Linked DNA regions of Xenopus tropicalis. The protein of the gene in region 1 binds, or shares a complex with, the protein of each later gene. Links are inferred from orthologs where the notes say so. Each region holds a gene or a part of one and is shown on either strand. Other genes may lie near its edges.

Region 1 (3,500 bases):
TTCAGGACCTTTCAGTGAGATATATCTTAGGTTCTCTTTCTCAATCTTATTAATTTTCAATGATTATGTATATGGCAGTATTAGGTCTGATTAGGTCTCACAAACAAAAACTTAATGCAAATCATAGGTGTAGTTAGCCCCCAGTCCCTAGCTTACCTCTCGCAGGCTGATTTTGGATGTATAAACCACATCGGATCCTTCTCTTTTGAACACTGGATGAGACTTGTCTTTTAGCACAAAGACAATATCAGCAGGAATGTTGCTGGGGGTCTCGTCACCCTCTTTAGGGAAGGTGATCTTGGTGCCTTCTTTCCAGCCTTTTTTCACCTGAATGGTGAGTATCTTGTCCTCATTACGCACACTTCTGCCATCGGGCCCCAGCCTCTTGTGCGAGATTTTCATTTTTTTGGTGCAACCATTAAACACTTCCTCAAGAGATACTGGGAGTTCACGTGTGATTGGAGGATCCTGCTTTCTGGGTACAGTGTCCCGTCGACCCGATGCAGACCGAGGAAAGCCTCCCATGCCACCCATGCCCCCCATTCCTCCCATTCCCCCCATGCCACCGAAGCCCCCCATGCCACCGAAGCCAGCAAAGGGATCGTCTGTATCCATGTCGTCATCATTGCGTCCAAAAAAGCCGTCAAATGGATTTCGACCACCGAAGAATTCGGCAAAGACAGCATGAGGGTCACCGTGGAAAGTGTAGCTATAGGTACCATTGGGGCCGCCGCTGCTTCCTCCACCACCAGGAGTTCCCTTCAGGCCTGATTTGAGAGAAAGATTATAATTTAGAGACAATAAAAATTACATATGTAGTTTATTATATAGTCCCTCCCCAATGTGCTCTGCATTTCCCCACATTTAACAGCCAAGGGAGCTATTGGCTATGCCGTCAGTTCTATGTGCTCTATATTGGGCATGGAATACAGGGTGGAGGGGTAGTAGCAGTATTACAAAGGTAACTGGCTATGGTTCAAGAAAATATCAGGAAGGAATTTGCAAGACTGAGGAACAAGCTTGGATTTGCAGAACATGAGGAAATCAGCAAGAATAAACATGCAAGCTTTCAGAAGAAGCAAATGATACATTTTTTTCTAAGCAGGGATTAGAGTCCTTTAATCAACTACACTGCAATGGTTTTGAGAGTATCCTATTTACTCTGAGCAGATGGGCCTGCTAACCAAAGAGCATTATTATAATCCAGCATAATGACTTTTATTATAGCCCCCCCCCCCCAATATGCTACAATGGGAGCTACTGAATCACAATTCCCTATTTATCTGGTGGCTGTAAATATATTATTTGCTGTTGCCCCAGGAGCTATATCCCTACTCCACCACATGCTGCAATAGTACAGCACCCAGATGTAGGCATATTGGGAAAAGTCTGCACTGCTTAGATCTGTACAAGAAGGGGTTAAAACATGAATGCTGACAGTACCCACTCCCAGTGGAAAGCATGGAACAATGGATTCTGCATGTGAAAAGTTTCCCTGTGCTGTCACATCTGTGTGTTGGATGAGCAAAGGGCACAAGGGTTCTTTTGTAGCGATCTGCACACACAAGCACAAACACCATTTTCTGAAACAAAAATATTTTTTCCTCCCCCCCCACCCCAATTTAACTTCTTAAATAGGCTGAACTAGTGCTCTGGCTATTCCTGTTATGCGAGTGTTACTTTGCATGTAACACTGTGATGCTACGTAGCTGGTCAGAGTGATAAATCAGAACAAATCTGACCAAACGGACCTGACATCTCCCTGTGAAACTGCCAAACGGACAACAAGCAAAGAGCCAAAGGCCCCACACCTTTCATAAGGTGAAGTCAGCTTGTGGAGGGCATTAACCATCAAAAGTCCTTCAACTATCTTGCAGAATGGCCAATACACAACTTTTGAATTGGTCTTCATTTTTTATTTTGTATAGTTATTGAATTATTTGCCTTCTTGGAAATAGATCAGTGTCTCTTACTCAACCCACTCCCTGGTTGCTAAGGTAATTTGAACCCTAGCAACCAGATAACTGCTAAGATTCCAAGCTGCAGAGTTCCTGAACAAAAAGTGAAATAATAACACTACAGCCACCCCTCATAATAAACAAGGGATGCGTTGAATTCAGCACCTGGCTGAATCCCAGCCTGTTCTGCAGGATATGGATTCGGTTTGGATGAACGCTTAAAATCATGTGACTTCTGGACAGCTGAATGTGACAATTTTTGGTTCACAGTTGATGCCCTTTTTTAACGGAATTCAAGTCTGAATGTGCAAATTAGTGTTTTGATTCAGTTCGGCATTCGGACTAATGTGAAGGACCCCATATTTGGCCCTGTTAGGCGCACACAGACATACTTACACTCCAACAAATATACTCTGGAGCCCCACGACTTCTACAAGATCCATAACTTATTTAGAGCAGCTGTTACTTATACAAAGAACACATGCTACTTGTACAGGTATGGGACCTGTTATCCAGAATGCTCGGGACCTGGGGATTTTTGGATAAGGGATCTTTCTGTAATTTAAGATCTTCATACCTTAAGTCTGCTAAAAATCATTTAAATATTGAATAAACCCAATAGGCTTGTTTTGCCTCCAATAAGGATTAATTATATCTTAGTTGGGATCAAGTACAGGTACTGTTTTATTATTACAGAGAAAAGGGAATCATTTAACCATTAAATAAACCCAATAGGGCTGTTCTGCCCCCAATAAGGGGTAATTATATCTTAGTTGGGATCAAGTACAGGTACTGTTTTATTATTACAGAGAAAAGGGAATCATTTAACCATTAAATAAACCCAATAGGGCTGTTCTGCCCCAATAAGGGGTAATTATATCTTAGTTGGGATCAAGTACAGGTACTGTTTTATTATTACAGAGAAAAGGGAATCATTTAACCATTAAATAAACCCAATAGGGCTGTTCTGCCCCCAATAAGGGGTAATTCTATCTTAGTTGGGATCAAGTACAGGTACTGTTTTATTATTACAGAGAAAAGGGAATCATTTAACCATTAAATAAACCCAATAGGGCTGTTCTGCCCCAATAAGGGGTAATTATATCTTAGTTGGGATCAAGTACAGGTACTGTTTTATTATTACAGAGAAAAGGGAATCATTTAACCATTAAATAAACCCAATAGGGCTGTTCTGCCCCCAATAAGGGGTAATTATATCTTAGTTGGGATCAAGTACAGGTACTGTTTTATTATTACAGGGAAGAAGGAAATTATTTTATAAAATAAAAATGATTTGCTCATAATGGAGTCTATGGGACATGGCCTTTCCGTAATTTGGAACTTTCTGGATAACGGGTTTCTGGATATTGGATCCCATACCTGTATCAGTCAATTGCCTTTTTACAACCAGCCATATTACACATACTCACCCTCTTCTCCATATTTATCAAACACTTCCCTCTTCTTAGGGTCACTGAGCACATCGTAGGCCTCCGCAATCTCTTTGAATCGATCCTCAGCTCCCGGGTCCTTGTTCTTATC
Region 2 (3,500 bases), on another chromosome or scaffold:
AATCATGTGTTTCTTTTGATAGAGAACTCAGTGCAGCTTTTCTGTGAGTACGTATAGCTGTATTTACATAGACCTTTCTGATAAAGCTCACTTCGTTTTTACCTTTCCTTCTCCTTTAACGAGGAAGCATTTTGTTTTCTAAATTCTATAGCTGTTTATGCAACTTTATGCAACTTTTTGCAAACTGCTGATTAAAGGAATACTGACAGTATATAATTTCAATAATTTCGTCCCCAGGACCTGATAGCCTGGTGATGGTACCTTTTTGAATTGCTGTATTTTCAAAACTAAAGCAGCCTGAAAATGTTAGCACGACTTCTTAAGTAGAGCTTTAGGCAGTAAGGTTACTGAATGCAAGCTCGACTACCTAAGAAGAGCTTAATGCAGTAGGGTTACTGAGAGCAACTATAGTGAAGAACAACCAAAAACCCAACTTCTGGTTCTGCATAGGCACTGTGGATTGACTCCTGTCTAAAAGTTTAGGGGATGTAGTCTCAAAATTATACTGACTAGCAAAACAATGTACCACGTCCAGAACATGTGGCATATATGAAACCTTGTACCCCAGGCTGGTGCCCCTGTTCGGAGAGAACAGCACCAGCCTGTGGTACCTGTAGCGCTTCCTCCTTCCTGCCTCAGTGCGCGCGCATGTGCAGTAGAGTGAAAAAGCCGAACTTTAACAGAGAAGTCGGCTTTTCACTCTACTGCGCATGCGCCTGTCGTTTAGTCCTTGCAAAACGAAGCCAGAAGGAGGAAGCGCTCAGCTACAGGTACCCTGGGCTGGTGCTGTTTTCTCCTAACAGGGGTACCAGCCTGGGGTACAAGGTAAGCGTAAGTCACTTGGGGGTGCCTAACATTTTGGCACCAAGTGACTTAGCCTTTCCTTCTCCTTTTAAAATGAGGAAAAATAGCCATCACTGTTGTGCTTATTCATGTGTTGACAGCTCTGTTGCATTGTATGAAAAAGGTTTGAAGACAGCAGTAGTGAAAAGTGGTAATGCAAGTCACAAAGTGACCATTCATTTACAATACCTTTTTAAGTTAAGCAATTTCAAGAAATGGTAGATAAATTAAACTAACCTGATAAAGAAAACTAACCAAGTTTGTGTTACTGTGATAGGGACCATTCAATTATAGCCTTCACTGAGGCAGGAACTTTAATGCATCATCTATAATATCTGAGAAGTGCCAGAATATCTAAAAAGAATATGGTTGCCAATCAAATCTCAATTATTTAATTTCTCCTTCCTTAGCTGGTTGTGCCATTCCCAGTTTCTTTCCGGCTCAAAGGGAAGGATGTGCAAGTGGATATCAAACGACACAGACTGACGATTGGGCTTCGGGGACAAAAGCCAGTTTTAGATGGTGAACTGTTTAATGACATTAAAGTTGAGGAATGCTCATGGCTAATAGAGGATGGAAAAGTGGTAACAGTGCACCTGGAAAAGGTGAGTCTGTCTGGTGTCTGTGTGACCTGCATTCTATTTACACTTCTTCTCCAACTAATCCTTTCTGTATACCCTGTAGATCAATACAATGGAGTGGTGGAGCCGCGTTGTCTTAACAGATCCTGAAATTAATACTAAGAAAATAAATCCAGAGAACTCCAAGGTATGTTGTGTATTATTTCAAATAAATTATAAACAACACAAAATAATGTAATGGCTATTGCAAAAAAAACATGAAGGCATTGACTTGACACTAAAAAATATGGACTCTGCATATTCACTGGACAATTTAAAGGGCATATTATTGTATTTATTGACGATTCAGTCCTTGAGTAAATCTGTAGGGTGTCATTTCTTTTTATAAACCAATATCATGCTTAATAGTATGCATTATAAATGTTGGACTTTTTATATGTTAAAAAAGTAATTGACATTGGTTCTACAAGCGTGTTTTGTTCAGGATATATACGGTACATTGGTTTAGGTAGTCAATGGTATCCTACTCGAGGTAATGTTCAACTTCTGTTAAAGAAGGGGAGGGTTTGGGATTACCAGTGAAGGTTCAAGTTCCCCGGGAAGATCCTGTGGGACTTTTTATATTTACTTTATATGTTCACTATTCACCTTAACTGTTTGGTCTTCAGTTGGGAGTCTCCATTTCAAAAATACCAGGACCTGTAGTTCAGGATGCCTTGACTTGATTTTCCTGTATATACCCTGCAGGTAGAATGTAACATATAGCAGGCAAGAACAGTGTTGTATCTATAGAAATCATTCACCTAAAGGCCTCCACTGTGTTTCCATTAACTCTGAAATCTCTTATGCTAGTAGTAGTTTACAGAACACTGGCAAAGGGAGCAGACAGCCTTCAAATGACTGATTAATACAAAATAAATTCTTACTAAAGTTATGCTCAGCCTGTGTCTGTTAGTTCCGATGTCAGCAGGGGTTTTTTTTGTGTAGAGCTTGACTATTTCTGTACCCATATGGTATGAACTTCATTCTGTGTCCATACGTCATGCATCATTTGTCTGGGCTGCTTTTTGAACATGATTCATGAGTTTGCCCAGGAGCAACAACTACTAGCAGCCAATCAGTAGGTAGCGTGTATTGGTCACCTGACTAAAAGCAAGCATCTTACTGGTTGCTATGCGTTACTGCTACTGGGCAAACTTACATATAGGGGTAAATATTTAAAATTCATATATACATTCAAGTGTTCATATTTCAGGCAAGTTGAACCTTCATCAAAGATTAAATTGCCCTCCCTGTAGGTGAATCACATTTTGGTATTTACACCATAGGATAGTCAAATGTCACCAGTTTTAAGTAGACTCCAGCAAGAGTTCAATAGGTAGCCAATATAGTAGGCAGCCAATATAGTAAAGTCTTACACTGGACCCAGATGGGAGATTTAGTGCCCTACAAAGTCTTCCTATATCTTCAAGCAGTTAACTGAAGCGCTTGCTGGGAATAAATCCAGGCAAAAAACCCGTTGCAATCTGTGGCCAGTGCTGCACAGTAAGATTTAGTAGTTCAGGCCATAATAGTAAGCCAAACAAACAGATCTTTCTCATATATGCCCACCTTGACGTGGATGATATTGGATTGAGCCAACTGTTCAGACCTCAGGCCAAATGATAGGATTGTACTGATGGGATGCAGGCCATCAGGACAAGGACCACATCAACGACATGATTTTTATACCTGCCCAATCAATATCTATCTGATTTTTGGCCAGATATTGGTCTGGCAGGCACATCTTAGTGCCCCATACACAGGCTAATTAACTGCCGCCTGCTGACGGTGGAGAAAGTGATTTTTGGCCAGACAAGGCAAAGTCTACTAACAACTTGTAGTATATTTCTACCATATATGATAGCTTACCTGCTTTATCTCCCTTGTTGTTTTTGCTTGCCTAGCTTTCTGATCTAGACGGTGAGACCCGCAGTATGGTGGAAAAGATGATGTATGACCAAAGGCAAAAATCTATGGGGCTTCCAACTTCAGATGAGCAGAAAAAACAAGATATACTGAAAAAGTGAGTATGAA

The links. The genes of interacting proteins can lie anywhere in the genome.
Region 2: the proteins of dnajb1 (region 1) and nudc are in contact, whole or in part, in a crystal structure (PDB 7NDX), measured with the Homo sapiens proteins. The link is inferred for Xenopus tropicalis from reciprocal best matches to the Homo sapiens genes DNAJB1 and NUDC. Residues at the interface, in NP_006136.1 of Homo sapiens: His166, Lys181, Lys182, Met183, Lys184, Ile185, Ser186, Asp201, Lys202, Ile203, Ile235, Phe237; in NP_006591.1 of Homo sapiens: Pro102, Gln103, Ile104, Lys105, Glu106, Leu107, Ala112, Leu115, Gln116, Ile119.

Annotation. Positions count from the first base shown.
Region 1 is NC_030679.2:134,720,667-134,724,166, forward strand, and holds part of dnajb1 (dnaJ homolog subfamily B member 1), read right to left. Parts: coding exon 3,389-3,500; intron 768-3,388; coding exon 157-767; intron 1-156. UniProt on the Homo sapiens protein: Interacts with HSP70 and can stimulate its ATPase activity. Stimulates the association between HSC70 and HIP. Negatively regulates heat shock-induced HSF1 transcriptional activity during the attenuation and recovery phase period of the heat shock response.
Region 2 is NC_030678.2:77,792,934-77,796,433, forward strand, and holds part of nudc (nuclear migration protein nudC), read left to right. Parts: intron 1-1,253; coding exon 1,254-1,448; intron 1,449-1,527; coding exon 1,528-1,611; intron 1,612-3,370; coding exon 3,371-3,489; intron 3,490-3,500. UniProt on the Homo sapiens protein: Plays a role in neurogenesis and neuronal migration. Necessary for correct formation of mitotic spindles and chromosome separation during mitosis. Necessary for cytokinesis and cell proliferation.